Oreochromis niloticus: one gene and its partner. The protein of the gene in region 1 purifies or fractionates together with the protein of each later gene. This does not show direct contact. Links are inferred from orthologs where the notes say so. Each region holds a gene or a part of one and is shown in the gene's direction. Other genes may lie near its edges.

Region 1 (9,747 bases):
TTTTGATGTGGACTGACTAAGCTGTGTGGGGTTTGTATGTGCTTGGATGTTGTTTTTGAATTTCTTTCCTTTGTCTTGTGTGATTTTATGTAATTTTGAACTTTAAATCTTATAAATAAACATTAAAAAACTGCCCTTTCTTCTAGACATCTCCATGCCTCCACAGGTACGTCATCTGTCCACCTGCCTTTCGTCTTCATAGCTGCGTTCGTCCTTCATCCTTACTAATCCTCTAAACTTTCTTATTCACTAACCTTCCTCGCTCTTTTGTTTTCTTCATTCATCAGATCCTGATGAATGTTAACTGTATGAGACGGGATCAGTCAGGGCCCAGGTTAGCAAGCGTGATTAGAATTGATGGGTTTATGATGGCACACATTAGCAGCGGCTGTGTAACGTCTGAATGGTGAAATGCAGCAAACATCCTCGACCGAGGAGTAAAAACCTACCTGTGATGACCACTAGCTTAAAGTGGCTAAATGTCTTCCTTCTCTCATGATCGGTCAGTAAATGATTCTACTTATAAAATAATGTCACATATAAAGCTAGTGACTCCATGTACTGATGTGCTATTATTCTGTAATCAAATTGTGATGCCACTGTGGGGATTGTACAGCAAAAATGACAAATTAGGCAAACCTAAAACATAATTCCTGCTAGTTTATTCGATTTAATGTTCACTGCAAAGGGCACTCAGACATTTTTATATCGAGTTATCTTACAGTTTTATGGAGAACAGCTATAAAAGTTTTACTATGACACAGCTTGATGACAATGAGTTTTAGTGTCTGTGTTATCAGGATGATGAGGCCCATCTCATCTGATACATGTGGTTGCTTAAAAAGTAACAACCTTAAAGAGTAAGGATGTTTTCGTTTAAAACATATTTGTGAATAATCATAAACTATATTCTGAGACGACACATCACTGAGTTCAGAAGAATGAGAATTACAGAGCGGGTTTCATGACGATCACTTTCATGGCCCTTTGTAAGATCTCTGGAGTTAAAGTCTTTAGGATGTGTGTGTCCAAGTCTCTAATTATTCAGTTATGAACTTTTTGTTTGTTTGTTTTTCATCTGTTGAGTCAAAGTCCCAGATTATCAAATTAAAAAAAAGTGGACTGGCCCTTCACAACCTGGATTTCCCTGGAATGATTCACGGGACACACCTGAGGAGAAAAACCATACAGAAAGAGTGTTTGTATGAAAGGGTGTGAGTGGGTGAATGAGGCATGTTGTAGAAAAGGCTTTGAGTGCTCAAGCAGAGAACATAAGCACTGTATAAGATCCAGTCCATTTAATACCTACTGTAGTAAATGCATGGAATATTTTTCCTGTTTATAGTCGTTCATCCTCGATGTTATGGGTAAAAACACTTAGTTACAACTGAGCAAGCAGCAGTTTAGTGTACATACAATATTTTGCCACATTACCTTTGTGTATGCAGAGCTCAAATTACAGCAGTGACAGACATGAGACTGTGTGTGTGTGTGTGTGTGTGTGTGTGTGTGTGTGTGTGTGTGTGTGTGTGTGTGTGTGTGTGTGTGCTGGATTTAACATTCACTGGAACTGTAACAGTGTCATACTAAAACATCCCTCATTAGAATTCAACTAAAGAGTTCAGCACCTGCTCAGTGAAGCATTTTCATATGCTATGCTTCACCTGAGCTGAGGGGAAGTCAGCTGCTGGAATAGCCCCGTGAAGAGCAATGATGTGCATGAGGCCTTCAAACCACTTCCTGTCTGTTGGTTAGTCTACAGGAAGTCACATGATTGTTGCATGCTGCACAGACCTGCTTTGCGCTCTAATTGTGCTGTGTGTGTGAAGAAGAGCAGAGAATCAGTGATGGGACAGGCATATCGCCGGCTCACTTCTTCTTTATTCCTAGAAATAAAATGTGCACACAAAGAGAGAGATGATGGCTGAATATAGTAAATGAGCAAAGCTGTGATGTGTAATCTTTACTTGCACAGGGCTATCTTATATATGCTGAAAGAAAAACAACTACTAAGTTACGATGCACAAATCTGGCTTGACTTATATGATTTAATTTAATTCATGCAAATCCAGATTCTTCATTTTTACACACAAATGTATTAAGATGTTGCATTAAATGTCAAATTAATAGAATGCAATGATATTCAAGTCACTTGAGGCCTGAATTCAATTGATAAAGGCGCCAAAACCGCATGAAAATGATGAAAGGGAGATACCCATCACTGCATGGCAGCTCCTGTTCTGGTTTTGTTAGCATCTGGTAACCAAGGAGACCAAAGGAAAAACCTGCCCATGTTGGGCTCTTTCATATGTTTCTGATTCACAGTGCAACAACAAAATAAGGATTTGGTTTTATATGTTTCAGCATTACTGATCTTTTCACTGATGTTCAAGTTAACGGTGCCACGAGTACCAATGCAACTCCATTCAGCTCAGTAACAGATTGATTATCTTTATTTACTTTTGCTAATCTAACCTGCTGTTTATAGCTTCAGCATCTTGATAACGAAAGAGGAACAACAGCATTTCCAGCTAAGAGCACTTAGACACTCGGCATGTTAAAGTCAAAGGCCATAGTACTAGTAACTAATAATTTGGAGATTTGCAGAGTTCATGCTTGTTTCAGTAATGTGCATTGCTTAATCTGAAGGGTTAGAGCAATGGAGCTGCTCTTGTCCTCCCATCTTTGTAAGCACTGCGCCGCTGTCATTTCTCTGGCAACCTACCAAGCATGCTTCAAAGTTAAAACAAAATTAATATCAGCAGCAAGAATTAGTACCAGAGCAGTGACCTTAGTTACATGTTATCTTCTCCTAACATAGGTTTGGTTGTCAAAAGCCACTCTTATCAAAGAGGAGGCCTATTGTCATTGTGCCCAGCCCCGGGTCACAGATAACTCTGTGAGAAAGGAGAAGAGCCAAGTTTTTACCGAGTTTCGGGAAAACAATGCTCTTAACAAAAAAACACGACATCCCATGAACACGATAGCTTGCGACCAGAGAGTGATAGGAGCTTTAGGTCAAAGGTGAAAGTACAGGAAGTGCCGGGAGTCTCTCAAGGCTGTTACGGTGCTGACAGCAAGGACAGGCCATATGGATGTGGGCTATTAGGCCTTCCTTACATACTACTGCATCATTGAAACTGACACTGCAGTCTGGAGCCACCCTCCTTTGTAGCCTCAATCAGCGTGGTGGATCCGAGCCGTGATGAGAGACGGTGGGGTTGGGGGAATGTTTTGGCTACACAAACTTGGAATAATGCGCCACAAACATTTTGGCAAATCTGACAACATCTTTGTATGGTTTGGCACTGAGGCTGAGGGTGTGGACCTCTGCTCACACGGAGCAGCTAATTAATGACTGAATGGTAATTTGGGCCTAATTTGTGCCGCTAAATTGTTCCCATAACATTCCTTTGAAATATGAATTCTCAGCCTACTGAAAGTGGAGCTATGTGCTAAATACATTATTGTAACACAACATTGAATGTTTTCATGTCAAACATTGGCTTTGTACAGGCAGAAGCAGGGTACTCATATAAAACAAAGAAACCCCCAGAAGATTATTTCAGATCAAATTAAAAGAAAAAATGTAAAAGTCAGTAAAAGTAGTGCGCCAAATAGCAATGACTGTAAAACCGGCTGTCTAGTATTATTTAGATCCCTTCTGAGCCATCGGGGCCTGAACATGGGACCTCCGAGGATGTGCAGGGTCGTCTGGGATTGCAGGCGCCACCGGCTTGTTCCAGTGCACAGCGTGGACTGGAATCTGAGGAATTTGGAGCCAGTGTGACCGATGATTTCTGTCATGATAACTGGGCTGTTCCTGAGCAGTTTTTGCAGTTTGGGAATATCATCCTGCCAGGTGAGGCTGTGCTCCCATATGATTTTTTTTCCCATCATAAAATGTTATTTGGAGGAAAAGTGACAGACTGACGTGTGATACGTAGCCTGATTACAAACCAGAAAGTGCTTTAAAAGTGAGTACTGTGAAACAAACACTGCACAAATGGAGAGAGGCCCAGGCTGTGGTGATGTCATGCTATGTGCCTAAACCACTAAGAAGCTTCACTGCTGCATTCTGCACTTGGTGGAGGTGATAGTGAGCCAGAAAAGAGGAAGTCGCAGCTGTTAAGACTGATGTGGGGAAAAAATAACCCAAATATTATTTGCTGTTGCATTCATAACACAGAAGAACAAAGTGTGTGTGTGTGTGTGTGTGGGGGGGGGGTCCTTTGGAATGATCCACAGAAATCGATTTTGAGACGAGCTCCAACCTCTTGTCATTACTTTAAGGGTTAATTTTCAGCATGATGAAACATGAGTAAAACAGACAAAGTTGTTGTCTTTTTAAGGTGAAATTTCCTCTTTTTTTCTCCTTGACTGACGACAATTCAGACGAAACACAAACAGGAAATGTTGATGGGTCTGGAAGACAATCATTTTGACAGTACGCTCACACATTCAGGCCGATCATTTTCAAAACGAGGGTGCCTGCTTTTCATTTCAAACGTGTGTGTTCATCACACGTGTCATTATGTTTGCGCTAACCTAATCTTTGCATACGACATCTCTGTAATGTCTGCATGGTCAAGCTAAGGAACAGTTTGAGGTGCTCCAGTAGCCTGCACCTGTAATGTTAGGATCTGAAGATGGAGGATGAAAAACTATCTGCCACAGTATTAATGTATTTATTCACTTTGTCGCAGGAGAAGTGAACCTCACTCATGTGAACCAACAATTGTTTTCATTACTGACTAATCAATAAAAATGGCATTTTTGTATAATATCGCACCTGCTCTTATCTCAGAGTGTGCCCCTCTAATCACTTTTTCAAAAATCCACTGAACATAAAAAACTCAGTTAAAAATAAATAAATAAATAATTTTTAAAAAGTAGCAGAACCTCTCTTCCTAGCTTCTGTGGTGAATGTGCGTCTTGGTTGAAATGTTTGGGCTTCCCTTAAGGAGGACTGCGTTTGGCTGTTCGCTTCAGGAAAGGCAGCTCCACTACATTTTTGTGGGTCCTCTTTATTTCAGGGCACTGAAAATCCGTCGCCACCTTTCACCCCTTTAGCGCCGGCATTGTCGAAACTTCTTTGAGTTTATTATAGGTTTTGGTCAGACTTTTGGCCCCTGAGCTGGTTTGGCTCCCCACATGGGACATTCCTGTCGAGCAGCCCCTCCCTGGAAGTCTCTCAGTGCGCAGACTCGCGGCTCTCCGCTGTCAGGGCAAGGCAGACTGACAGTATGGCGGCGGGGTGCAGCTGGAAGGATGCTACTGTCGCCCGTGATGTGTCTGCTGCCGCCAGGATGTAAATGGACTATTGACGGCACAAAGAGCAGAGGATTTAGCGCGAAAGGCCTGTCACCGTGAGCCTCCAAGATGGCCAGGCTCGCCGACTACTTTGTTGTGGTCGGTTACGACCTCGAGAAGCGAGGTGGGTGTTTGAGTTAGCCAGCCCTGCTAGCTTTAACGGCGTATTATTAGCTGTGGGCAAACAAGAGGAGGGGAGGGAGGCGGGGACGGGCCAGGCCGCCGTTCACAACTAACCGACTTGGGCGCTGTCAGTTGGCTGCTAGCCCTCAACTTTAGACCGGGGTGCGCAGGCCTCACGGGATTAGTGTAGTTGAATGCGAGGCTGTCAGCCGGTGTGTCACATTTGTGACTGTAGAAGAAGCTGCTTACAACCGCCAACTTCCAATGGCGTTTTAGCTTCGGGAAAACAAACTGCCTCACTCCGTTGACAGAAAACTTGGGCTAACTTCATTTGCTAAAAGCTAACGTTAGAAGGACTAGAGTTGAGGGGGCTTTCAGTTTGCTCGGCTGAGACCTAAGACGGATTTATTCACCCGCATTTTGCCCGCTCTCTCTCATTTGCAAGCCTTAGAAGTGGCGTTTTGGGAAAAATGAATTTTTTTCAGGGGTAGCTTACCACAGGATGTGACAGCGACAGTCAGTGTTGTTGTGGCTGCAGGGTCCTGAATAGCCACGCTGCGTTGATGTCCACCTGGACTTGATCTAATCACTTTAATAGTACAAATCGATGCTTCTCCTTGCCGCAATTGCTTATTGTTTTCTTTGTGTGTGTTTTGTCTGGATTAACCTAGATGGCTTTGCCCCTCCCTTGAGCCCCCTCGGACCGGAGCTGTGTTCCCTTGCGTTGCTGGGACGGGGTTAGGACCGTTATCTGAGCCCCCCCCTTCAGCCTGAGCCTTGGCCTAGATCTGTGCAGTATAATGGCCCGTTTAATCATGAAATATTCAGCTCGCCTATCCAACGGAAGCATGCAACTTGTAACGTGGTTGTCTTTTATTTAGAGTGATTTTTTTTCTTTTGCTTATGATTTATTCAGAAGAGGCAAATTGTAACATGACGAGGCCCGTGTGGCTAAAAGCAGGCTCTGGACTGGCTTTTATCGTGATGCTGGGGTGGCCTACATCCCCTTTTCTGACACATGAATACATTTATTGCATCTTGTATTTTTCTTCCAGAAGGGGGGGAATACAGGATGTTATAACGTGGACGCTGCAAGCGCTGCAGAAACTCCCCTTCCTGTGCTACAGTGCCTGAATGCATTGCAGAGCAGAACATGCCAGTAAAAAGCATCTGGGAAGCAGACATTAAAGCCACGGTGGCTTAATGGATCAAACGCTCCGTGCCTCATAAAAACCAAACACTTTGAGGGTGATGATGATTTTTGGTGTGGCTACACTAATGTTGCCTTTCTAGAGCACCTTCAGTCCCTGCTAGGTTTCAGGCTGAAGGCGTTGTTGTTGTGGTAAACGTCCCCGTTTGCAACAAGGACGGTTTTCGCCTTCATCCACGTGCTCGGTGGGCCCATCTTCTTCTAGTTTCACCTGGTTCCAAATGCAAAGCTTCCACTGTTGTTTATTTGGAGATTTCTGACTTTACATGTATTTATGCAGTATTACTTTGCTTTCTACCAATGCTCCAACTACAGTGTGCTGGCACTAACTGATTGTAATGAAAAGACTTGGCTTCGCATCAACATTGAAAGGTCCTCGAGTATAAGAATACCAGGAATTCTGCAGTACAGTGGCGTTTCCTCCCGTGGCTAAATATTTCATGCATCCTGTCTACGTGTGTGCGTGTGTGTGTGCTTGTGTTAGTTGGGTGGTTGCTGCTTGTCACTCAGTTAGTGGAATGTTTTGCAAGCGTGGGCACTGACAGGTTGTGGGGCTGACATCATCACTGCTCATCTGCCTCTTAGAGGAACCATGTGGGTGTTTACAAACACGACGTCCATCTGTCAGATTTTTTTGTGTCCCTTTGCTGACTTTTAAACGGATGCGAACCCAGAGGGAAAAACCTGAACCTTCATCCCTCTGTTTATCTGGGAACTGTTCTGCTCAGCTAAGATGCCGCCTTAGACAATCCGTCGAGCCTTACTTAGAGCCAAGATGGCTGCCTGCGGCTTGGGAAGAGTTTGCAGTTGTCGCAGGTGTGGTTGTCCTAGAGAGGGTCTCTTGAAAAACTCAGCATGTCACAGTGTTTTGACAGCGGTGTGCCGAGTTGGTGACCAATTGGATTCACAGTCTGAGGACCAAACAGGAAGTTCAGGCGAAGAAGTCCCGAGAGAGACTTATGTTTAGAGTGAGAATCCATATTGTCCCCCAGTGCGTGTCTGAAAACCAGGAAAGAGGCGTGTTTGGTTTGAGCCTCTGTGAGTTGGTCTCATTCAAGACTCACAAACACACAGGCTCTATTGTAGTTTGTCTGTGCGCCTTTGGCACTCAGTTTGAGGGTGTTGGTCATTGTGGCGGCCCTAAACAGAATGTAGGATGGCTGTTTGGAGGCTGGAGTGACAGCTCTGGCAGCCAGCCTCCTTTTACGCACAAAAACATCTCCACAGCTTGCAGTCAAGAAAGGAGGACACGGAGAGGGGCACAGAGGGGATAACCGAGCATGAATCCGGGCTTGTGTGTGTCATGGTGTCTCTGTCACTGTCATACAGTCTGACCGTCATTGTAGAGTTGTGACACTGCTAACAGGACGTCAGTGGCATCAATCAGTGCACCGTGACTCTTGACTGGACAGGTTTGTAGCAGTGATTGTGGTGGAGATTGGGTTTAAAGTTTCATATTTCACCTCTGGCACCACTTTTGTTGCCACGACTCAGACTTGAACAAATGACTGAGACTGATGCATTATTTAGCTGTAGCAACGCTGAACTTCACATCAGTGATTTAGAGTGTAATTTTGAAACTATTTCCAGTATGTGATTACGCGTAGAAAACAATTTCTGTAAAGAAAGAACAAAACTGTGTTTTGGTTTCAGCGCTAAAGCTTGTGAATCTTATTGGTAGCAGAGCTGTGACAGAGCTTGTATCACTTCCTCTTCACACACCACGTGTATACAGCGTCTCTCCGAGACTTCATGGCCGTGTGATGATACTCGATGTGAAGTGTTGTTGCAGATTTTTGATAGAGCATTTAAACTGTTCACACACAATCCGGATGTATTTTAGAAATCACTCGGCAGCACTGCTTTATAGTCATATCTGATTTTTATATGAATGTCTGCAAAGCATTTAAAGGTGCAGTCAGTTGTTTTTTGAGGTTATTTGACAGAAAAAGGAATATTGTACTCATAAATATACATTTATTACATCTTGGAACACCTGATGTATTCTTATAAACTTGGAGTTGGTACATTAAAAATAAATAGAAGTGAGCAGCGGTTTGTGGAAGGCGCCATATTGTCCCAGCATCGTGAATACAGTGGCCGAGATAGATGTCACCGTTCCACCTCCTCGTGTGGTGGCTGGAGCTAAAGGCAGAAGGGAACAGAACATGTTCTTGTGCTGTGGAGGCAAATTTTGCATTCAGATTCAACATGTGAATAATCAGACCTGGTGTTTTGTCATCTGAGAAGGCGTCTTCACCAAAGAAGCAAAAACCAACAAAATGTCATAATCGTCTTCCTCCCCATCTCAAGCATCATCATCAGATGATGTAAAATAATAAAATAAATATTCTTCTGTAGCAATAACAAAGTATAACAAATTATTCTGTAGCAATTACACAAGAATATCCAGTAATGTCCCTGCCTACAATTAAACACATTCACTTACCGAAAATCGGGGGCATCTGCTGTGGCAAATGGGTGCAAGCCTTTGACCACAAACTTAGTCACTGCTCGGTGACATTCGTCTATCCTGGCCTGAAAGGAGACGCTACCGGTAGACTGCAGCGAGAACTGCCAGCCAGACTCTGTCTCTCTCATCATGGTCGCCTAAATGCACAGTAATGGCAGGTTTTGTAATAAGGCAGATCGCGCTAACATAATATGCACTGTTAGCTGATTATTTACCTGCTGTATTAACGGGAGAGGACGTGCAAACGTTACCGCTGCTGCTGGGTTGAGATTCACGAGTCCAGAGCGGAATTAAAAACATGACATTCATTTAAGGTCATCGCGTGTTTTGTGAGCAAATGCTTTTGCATATTCGTAGTGTTTCCTCCCTGAAATGAAATATCTACTTTGCAAGTATTGCAAGTTGCCCTGTTGTCATCTGTTCTCGTAAAGTATAACCAAACTTTTGAGCGTTTGAGCCGCTTAGGCGCCCTGCCAGGTAAATGATGCTCCGCAACGTGGTGACGTCATTCGGGGCGACTGGAATCGATAAGGGAATCGTTTGCAAAAATGGCAAATTGAAACAGTGGGAACTGGTTCTCAACAAGAACCGGGTTTCGATACCCATCCCCACATGTGACCTTCCCGTC
Region 2 (9,966 bases), on another chromosome or scaffold:
GATCAAAAAGAAATAACAGTTCAGCAAAGCATTGCACAATGTTAATGTAACATGAATATTTCAAAAAGAAAGTTGCATACTGGAGGAAACACTGCCCCCTACACGACTGTCAGTCAGAATAACAACACAGCAGGCTCTCTGACTGACTGTGCACCGAGGCAGCCCTGATGGGAAGGTCAGTGGTCTGTTTTATAGCGCTCCTCTACTCTCAGCACTCATAGCGCTTTACACAACCTGCCTCATCTATCTGACGTTCACACTTTGATGGATGCAGCAGAGAGCAACGTGAGGTTAGTGTCTTGCTCAAGGATGGCATGCAGATTACACCTGCCAGAGATTGAACCACCAACCTTCTAGTTAGTAGGTGACCTGCTCTACAGCCACTCCAAATATAATGTATTTAGCAGCTTGATGATGGCTGATGGATAAAAATCAGAGTGAGTGGAGGAAGTCTTTGTGGGAGTCTACAAAGACTCTACATTTTCTACAGATACTCTGTAAAACATTGGAGTGTCACCTCTCTGGTGAGAAAGGAGCCTGAGTTAGTGCGTGAGATTGAGAGGTACTGATTACATATGTCGGGCTCACCTCAACGTATAGCTTGGGCTCCAGAACCAGTCTCCTGGAGAGGGGCTGGACTTGCTGTTGGTGAGAGGTGGCGGGCTCGGGTGGACAGTTGAGTATCCCCTCAGCTTGCTGCCTGTATGTAGAAGTTTTTCCTGGTGGACAAAATGGTTTGTTCCCTGTGCCTCCGGGTCGGGGAACAGGTCCTAACTGTTGTCTGGGCCTATGTGCCGAACAACAGTTCAGAGTACCCGGCCTTCTTGGAGTCACTGAGTGGGGTGCCGGAGAGTGCTCCGCATGGGAACTCTGTCATCTTAATGGAAGACTTCAACACTCATGTGGGCAACAACAATGAGACCCGGAGGGAGGTGATTGGAACAGTCTACCAGATCTGAACCAGAGCAGTGTTCTGTTGAGCGCACTTCTGTGTAAACCACAGTTTGTCCATAACAAATAGCATGTTCGAACATATTCAATTCAATTCAATTCAATTCAATTTTATTTATATAGCGCCAAATCACAACAAAAATCACCTCAAGGCGCTTTATATTGTACAGTATACCCTATAATAATAGAAAGGGAGAAAAACCCAACAATCACTTTGGAGCAAGCACTTTGGCGACAGTGGGAAGGTAAAACTCCCTTTTAACAGGAAGAAACCACCGGCAGAACCAGGCTCAGGGAGGGGCGGGGCCATCTGCTGCGGGAAAGTTTGAAGCCTAATCTTAAAAGTAGAGATAGTGTCTGTCTCCTGAATCCAAACTGGAAGCTGGTTCCACAGAAGAGGGGCCTGAAAACTGAAGGCTCTGCCTCCCATTCTACTTTTAAATACTCTAGGAACAACAAGTAGGCCTGCAGTGTGAGAGCGAAGTGCTCTAATAGGGTGATATGGTACTACAAGGTCATTAAGATAAGATGGGGCCTGATTATTTAAGACCTTGTATGTGAGGAGCAGGATTTTGAATTCTGGATTTAACAGGGAGCCAATGAAGGGAAGCCAATACTGGAGAAATCTGCTCTCTCTTTCTAGTCCCTGTCAGGACTCTTGCTGCAGCCTTTTGGATTAACTGAAGGCTTTTCAGGGAGTTTTTAGGACATCCTGATAATAATGAATTGCAGTAGTCCAGCCTGGAAGTAATAAATGCGTGAACTAGTTTTTCAGCGTCACTCTGAGACAGGATATTTCTAATTTTAGAGATGTTGCGCAAATGGAAGAAAGCAGTCTTACATATTTGTTTAATATCTGCATTGAAGGACATGTCCTGGTCAAAAATGACTCCAAGGTTCCTCACAGTGTTACTGGAGGCCAAGGTAATGCCATCCAGAGTAAGAATCTGCTTAGATACCATATTGCTAAGATTTTCAGGGCCGAGTACAATAACCTCAGTTTTATCTGAATTAAGAAGCAGAAAGTTAGCGGCCATCCAGGTCTTTATGTCTTTAAGACATTCCTGCAGTTTAACTAATTGGTGTGTGTTACCTGGCTTCATGGATAGATAGAGCTGCGTGTCATCTGCATAGCAGTGAAAATTTATGCTATGTCTTCTAATGATGCTGCCTAAGGGAAGCATGTATAATGTAAATAGAATTGGTCCTAACACTGAACCCTGTGGAACACCATAATTGACCTTAGTGTGTGAAGAGGACTCTCCATTTACTTGAACAAATTGGAGTCTATTAGATAGATATGATACAAACCACTGCAGTGCAGTACCTGTAATACCGACAGCATGTTCTAATCACTCTAATAGGATATTATGGTCAACAGTATCGAACGCTGCACTAAGGTCTAGCAGGACAAGCACAGAGATGAGTCCACTGTCAGAGGCCATAAGAAGATCATTTGTAACTTTCACTAAAGCTGTTTCTGTGCTGTGATGAGCTCTGAAACCTGACTGAAACTCTTCAAATAAGCCATTCCTCTGCAGATGATCTGTTAGCTGTTTGACAACTACTCTTTCAAGGATGTTTGATATGAAAGGAAGGTTGGAGATTGGCCTATGATTAGCTAAGACAGCTGGGTCTAGAGATGCTTTTTGAGTAAAGGTTTAACTACAGCCACCTTGAAGGCCTGTGGTACATAGCCGATTATTAGAGATAGGTTGATCATATTTAAGATTGAAGAATTAATTAATGGCAGGACTTCTTTGAGCAGTTTTGTAGGAATGGGGTCTAAAAGACACGTTGATGGTTTGGAGGAATTAATTATTGAAGTTAACTCAGAAAGATCAATTGGAGAAAAAGAGTCTAACTTAACATCGATGGTACTAAAAGTAGCTGTAGATAATATTACATCTGTGGGATGATTATTGGTAATTTTTTCTCTAATGATAAAAATTTTATTTGTGAAGAAGTTCATGAAGTCATTACTAGTTAATGTTAAAGGGATTGTTGGCTCAGTAGAGCTCTGACTGTTTGTCAGCCTGGCTACAGTGCTGAAGAGAAACCTGGGGTTGTTCTTATTTTCTTCAATCAGTGACGAATAGTAAGATGTTCTGGCTTTGCGGAGGGCTTTCTTATAAAGCAACAAACTATTTCTCCAGGCTAAATGATGATCCTCTAAATTTGTGACACGCCATTTCCTCTCCAGCTTACGAGTTATCTGCTTTAGGCTACATGTTTGAGAATTATACCACGGAGTCAGGTACTTCTGATTTGAGACCTTAGTTTTCACCGGAGCTACAGTATCCAGAGTCGTACGTAGTGAGGAGGTAAAATTATTAACAAGATGATCGACCTCTGTTGGAGTAGCATTCAGATAGCTGCTCTGCTCTATGTTGGTACAGGGCATTGAAGATGATAACAGTGGGTGGATTATATTCTTAAACTTAGTTACAGCACTTTCAGAAAGACATCTACTTTGATAAGGTCTACTCTCCACTGCTGTGTAATCAATTATTGTAAATGTTATCAGGAAATGATCAGACAGCAGAGGGTTTTCAGGAAACACTATTAAATGTTCAGTTTCTATGCCATATGTTAAAACAAGATCTAGAGTGTGATTAAAGTGGTGGGTGGGTTCTTTTACATTCTGAGAGAAGCCAATTGAGTCTAATAACAGATTAAATGCAATGTTGAGGCTGTCATTTTTAGCATCTACATGGATGTTAAAATCACCCACAATAATTATTTTATCTGAGCTGAGCAGTAAAACACACGTCATATCCTGTAGTATAGCTGATAATTTTATAAAAGCACAAAGTGGACGTAGTTTTCAAGTGTTAAAAATAGGAAAAACCAAAAGAGTATTGTCATTAATGCTCACTTCAATTCAATGTTATTTATACAGCGACAAAATACAACAGTTGCCTCAAGACGCTTTATATTGGAAGGTAAAGACTCAAGAATCATATGTCATTAAAATGTTAAAATCACCCACAATAATTATTTTATCTGAGCTGAGCACCAAATCAGATAAAAAGTCTGAGAAATCAGACAGAAACTCTGTGTAAGGCCCAGGTGGACGATAGATGGTAACAAGTAAGACTGGTTTCTGAGTTTTACAGCTGGGGTGGACGAGGCTAAGCATCAGGCTTTCAAATGAATTAAAAGTCTGTCTTGGTCTTTCGTTAATTAATAGACTGGTGTGAAAAATTGCTGCCACACCGCCCCCTCGGCCTGTGCTTCGAGGTTTCTGGTAGTTAGAATGACTCGGGGGTGTTGATTCATTCAAACTAACATAATCATCCTGCTGCAACCAGGTTTCTGTAAGGCAGAGTAAATCGATTTGTTGATCAATTATTAAGTCATGTACTAACAGAGACTTGGAGGAGAGAGACCTAATATTTAATAATCCACACTGTTTTACTCTTTGGTTCAGATGTGGAACCTGTATTGGTCGTTCTTTGTGATTTTTTATGTTTAAGTTTTTTGTTGCTGGTTTTTGGTTTGTTTTTTGTCTGTTTGGGAGCTGACACAGTCTCAATGGAGATGGGTTTTTGGGGGGGTAGCAGGAGGAGAGAAGCTGCAGAGAGGCGTGTAAGACTGCAACTCTGCTTCCTGCTTCATAGAGGTGTCCATAAGTGCATATGGCACCAGGACAGCCCAGGCCGCAGGCTGATGATTGATTTTGATTTATGATTGCAGCCATTGTTGCTGTTCCTCTGCTATTTTCTCCAGACCATGATTGTGCCTGCTAAACCTGCCAGACAGCACAGGTGTTTAAAAAAATCCAGAGATTACTAGTTACAAAAGCATGTTTTCCTCTTCCTGTAAAAAAGAAAAAAATATCATTTGATAGATTTTTCAAGTGTGGAGAAAAAGTTAAAACCAATTAATTGTCATTTCATTTATTACCCCAAAAGAAAGTAGTTCGTTTTAAGACAATTACTGATATTTATCAGGGTGATGAATTTTTCAGGTTGATGTTTAAGCTGGTTAGTAAAGCTCAGAGCTTTTGTAAAAAAGATATTGAAAGTCAAGAACAAATTTTCTTTATATATACGCTGTATGCTCTATCCTATGTTTATTATCAGTTGGCCTTGAAGAATGTAATACCTGTGTTAGAATCTTGTTGTAATATCTTTATTAAGCAGTTACCCGCGTCTCTGCCAGCAGTATGTAGAGTAAGTCCTGGTAAATTCAGACAGGTTCATTTAAGATAAAATATTTGGTTATTTGTTTATTCGTGTGTTTTTTTGTATTCTGTTATTATTTGATGAACACGTTTGATAACTACACCCTTTCGTGGCATTTTTCTCCTTTCCGTGTTGACTTCTTCTTCCTCCGCTGATGTGGCAGTTTGGTCTAAATGGCGACGCCTATCGGTCAGGACGGTGCTACAGCATCCTTAGCACTGGTAGAAGCTGTGGCGACGTCACTGCGAACAACAATGCTGCGGCTATAGATGCGACTAAGAGGAAGTGCAAACAACCAAACCAGAAGAAACCACTGCATGTGAGATCCGCTCTCGAGCCTCTGATTAGTTTCTTTACACAGTTCGGAGTCTTTAAAGAACCATTACAGCCCGCTGGGAGCGGACACTGGGATTACACCGAGCTTTAATTTCATCCGCATCCCTTGTCTGTATCAGAGGAAACCATCCATCTCCGCCCCCGGTGACCCAGAAACGAAGCAGTTGTGTGACAGATGGAGAAACAGGCCGGAGGTGCCGGCGCTGGGGACGGTGCAGGGGCGAACAGAAAGCCGTGGGGCTCGCCGACTTGCGGCGCGGCAGCCGGTGATACCCTGGACAGGTAAGCAGGCTCGCTAACGAGAAAACGTGACGCCGATGCCCAGCTTGTTACTTATGGTTGTCTCGCTTTCCCACTGTACACCAGTAACATGAAATATTAGTAGTATTTCTTCACACCTTCATCTCGGCATCGATCCACAGACCAGTGCTTGGGACAAACTTTCCAACGTGACAAAACACTCATCATGGAATGATGTAGCGTGTTACCAGTTCATTTCAGATTTGGAATGACAACATACAACACAGTAGCGATACACTAGCTGACAAAAAATAATAGGATCACGTGATTAACACAGCATATAGGAAATGCACAGGAATGGCCACGCAGCCTGCAGACACCGAGTTAAACATCCGTATCTGCCGCTCAGAGGAAGCCGCCACCTGAGGGAGATATGACATGATGTTTTTGTAGTTTGATAAAAATGTTACAATGTTGCTCCTGTTAAAACAATACCGACACTGAAACGTGGAGTTGCGTTGCGCTGGGTAGGAGCCATATTCTTTATGTATTATTTATGGTTATCATCGCCCCCCCCATTGTACTAAAACTGGAGGAAGCGTCACACAGTCGTAACTCCTCCCCCTTAACATTCCATGACATTCACACCACAAAGCTGCTCCAATCCAGACTGAGTCTGTCAGAGACACTGGTTTATCTGCTATCACTGACAAGCTTCATATGAGCTGCTTTTCCTGATATATTGTTCTTGGCTTAATATTCAGGACTGTCCAGGAGACGGGACCGTCTGTCTCCAGCACTCAGACAACCGCTGTCAAAGCCCAAAGACAGGACGTTGTACTGTCTGGCTTAGGATTGGGAGAAAAATCAATACAGCATAGTATCATCAAATTTTGCATGGAGATATTGCATCCAAAAAACAACATTTTATTAAATAAATGAAAATACTCTGTGAATACTACAAAAAAGTCTGACTTCGACTGACTGAAATCACTCGCAGAGAAATGCAGTTTATATCAGAGACAGATTGCATATAACTGGCAGCTTTACCCGGTATAGTTGCAGACTGGTACCAGTCTGATTGCAGACTCAGTCCATCAACATTTGTGGCAGCTTTTAGTGGCAGTGTTGGTTTTCTTAACAATCTCATTTGCTGTAAAAACAAACAACTGAAGTGAAGTAACTCTATTTTATTAAATAAAACAGACCTTGACAAACTTTGACTTTGAGGACATCATTTGCAGTTGAAAAAATATTAGAAAAATATTAGTTAATAATATTGTTGTTAATTACTACACAGGGTGGAACGTTCTCATATGTAACATGTAGTCAGCAGAACATCATTGTTGCTGTCAGATGATGTTTATCTGTTCAACACATTCATTTTACAGTGATGATGTTAAAAGTGGTGTGATAAAGAACTCAAAGAACTTTCTAACACAATTTATTTATTTAAAATAATGTATTCATTTATTTGTTTCTGTGCAACAAAAGGGAGAAAACTGAGCAAAAGTAAAATAAAGAACAATATCAGCCAAACTGTCATTCTGAGTATTAGTGTCAGCCTGAAATCTGGAGTTCAGCTTCAGTTCATTGTTTCACTCTGTGTTCAGTCCAACAGGTTCTCACGTAGAATGGTGTAAACAGCTAATAGCAGCCACAATCTCCAGTCAGATCTCAGGATCAGTCCAACCAGACATTGGGAGCAGGGACATCAAGGTAGACAACACACAGCACACACACACACACACACACACACACACACACACACTGCTGGCAGTGATTCTCATCAGTGTGTATTTTGTAACTAATAGGCTGGGAGAAGACCAGAGTTCATGGTAAGTCTCGGAGACTTCTCCTTGTGAGCTGCTTTGAGTGTGGGCGCCTAGTTTTGTCTGTTAAGTCAATATGAATGATTAAGTCTGTCGTCATTGTTTAGAGAAGCTACTGAGCAAGTTATCGACTGCTTCTGTCTGTCAGCGGCCTGCTCTCTGCAACCACCTCTCTGTAGCGAGGCGCATATTGGCTCATTCATATTGGTTTTTCTCTTTTAGACCTCAGATCAGTTAGAGGTGTAATGTTCTATGTATTGCACATTATATGCAATGTGCTTTGTTAACTAAACAATGCTGCTCATATAGATCTCTGGTAGTTTAGACAACCCACAGCAGGGTTTAGCTGTATTGTTTGCAAGTGTAATATATTACACTAGACCTGTAGAGAGAGACCAAACTGTGGCCCCCGGTTGTTTAACATTAGATCTTTGCAAACGCTGACAATAAAATATGATAAAGCAATTGTAAAAGTGGCACCCATCACCTTACTACATCTTCTACAGCTATTACGTTCCACCTGAGCAATAAGGCTGACAAATATTCAAAGAACTGGAGTTTTCCATCCCAAAATCCAGATTGGAACCAAACTCTGTGCTTAAAGCTGCTGAAAAGTCTGAGCTGAACAGTCTTAGTTGTGTTATTTCTTTGATAAGTTACATTTCCAGCAACTTATCACAGTTTTGATAAATGTAACCAGAGTAGCACAGACTTCACTGTCACCACTGTGGTATGTACACTGTCTGTGAGATGACAAATAGCTGCTGAATTTAAAAAGGCACCCCTCTGTGCACATCTAATGAAATGTGTGTAATGAATTCACCTCCACTGTGTCAGATCAAACCCTCCACCTCTGATTTAAGGCTCACTTCATTAGAACAAAGTTAGAAGCGCAGCTTTCCTGCAGCTTGTCTAAACTTGTATCGGCTGTTTGTCACTTGTTGTCTTTGCTTGAATTTTGAACCTCATTGTTTGGAGGTTGCTTTTGTGCGCTTGTCTATTTGCATCCTTCTGTTATAAACACAGACTGATGTGCCACACATTAAAGATAACCTTTGGGTTGAAACCAGAGTGTCACCTTAGTGCTTTCCATTTCATGTCCATGTGGTGTGTTTAACCTCCAGGTGTCCAAGAGGCTGAATCGCAGGGTAAGAGTTGTTGTCCTTTCAACACATTTACAACACAAGCGCACTGCACACACACAGGAGTTTTGTAGCGTGGGATAAAACAACAGCTGCCTCTTGACTGTGATTCTTCAGCAGTAGCATTGTGATACAGCAAGTGTTCAAATTAGACGAATAACTGTAACGGTGTTAGGACGTGCGCTGAATAAATATTGTATGTGATGCAAATTTGAGCAGTTTGCTACTGTGTGACAGTGTGTAACCAAATCAGCCTCCTGCTGCAGACGGACCAGAGCTGCTACTCCTCCCTGCTCAGTGTACTTCCTCCTTCCTGTTTTATCCCTCTGTGCCTTTCTTCAGCTTTCTTTTTTCTTTCTTAATTAAGTATGAAACTGACTCCATTATAATAGAGCAAAAACCAACCAGACAAACTGTAGTGCCTCAACAAGAAAATCAAATTAAAGAGGGGATTTTTTTTTTTTTTTGAGTGGACTCGCTGCAAATCAATTTCCCATTGGAGACATTAAAGTTAGCAAACAGTGTTTGCATGTGAAGGCCATCGCGGTGGTGGGAGCATCAAGCTGTGGGAATAATTCACTGTTTGACTGGGAATCATGCCAATGGGTGGAAGGAATCATGACTGGATCTGTGAAGCTCCTGAGCAAACCTAGGTCTGGATTGTTATAATAATAATAATACATTTTATTTATAGGCGCCTTTAAGAGCCTCAAGGTCACCTTACAATAGCACAAGAACAATAGCAACAATACAATATAAAAACATGTCAAAATAACATTTAGACATAAGGTAAATAAGAAAAAAAAAAGCATAAAAGTATAAAAACAAGTATGAAAGCTGAGCAAGGAAAAAAATGGACTAAGACAGATCAGGTCTATGCAATGCTGAATAGATGGGTTTTGAGACGTGATTTAAAAGTGGTGAGAGAGTTTGTGGTCTGGAGATCTGGTGGAAGTGCATCCAAAGTCTCGGAGCAGAACAACTAAAGGCTCTGAGTCCCATGGTAGTCAGGCGAGCAGGTGGAACAGACAGAAGGGAAGCTGAAGAAGAGCGGAGCGTACGAGGGGGGGTGAGTATGTGTGGAGAAGATCAGATAAATATGGAGGAGCGAGATTATGAAGCTCTTTGAAAGTAAGAAGCAGGATGTTGAAATTGACACGGAGATGAACTGGAAGCCAATGGAGCTGTTTAAGAACAGCTGTTATATGTTCAGTGGATCTAGTTCTGGAAATAATACGAGCAGCTGTATTTTGAACTAACTGAGAGAGATTTACG

The links. Proteins that work in one complex are often made in the same cells at the same time.
Region 2: the proteins of sbf1 (region 1) and mtmr1a purify together in Homo sapiens (affinity purification with mass spectrometry; 4 studies listed by BioGRID and IntAct, with this or other methods). This does not show direct contact. The link is inferred for Oreochromis niloticus from reciprocal best matches to the Homo sapiens genes SBF1 and MTMR1.

Annotation. Positions count from the first base shown.
Region 1 is NC_031981.2:37,924,927-37,934,673, forward strand, and holds the start of sbf1 (myotubularin-related protein 5), read left to right. Parts: upstream 1-5,164; 5' UTR 5,165-5,382; coding exon 5,383-5,437; intron 5,438-9,747. UniProt on the Homo sapiens protein: Acts as an adapter for the phosphatase MTMR2 to regulate MTMR2 catalytic activity and subcellular location. Promotes the exchange of GDP to GTP, converting inactive GDP-bound Rab proteins into their active GTP-bound form.
Region 2 is NC_031967.2:2,852,367-2,862,332, forward strand, and holds the start of mtmr1a (myotubularin-related protein 1a), read left to right. Parts: upstream 1-5,344; 5' UTR 5,345-5,652; coding exon 5,653-5,759; intron 5,760-7,330; coding exon 7,331-7,436; intron 7,437-7,531; coding exon 7,532-7,555; intron 7,556-8,673; coding exon 8,674-8,697; intron 8,698-9,966. UniProt on the Homo sapiens protein: Lipid phosphatase that specifically dephosphorylates the D-3 position of phosphatidylinositol 3-phosphate, generating phosphatidylinositol. Could also dephosphorylate phosphatidylinositol 3,5-bisphosphate to produce phosphatidylinositol 5-phosphate.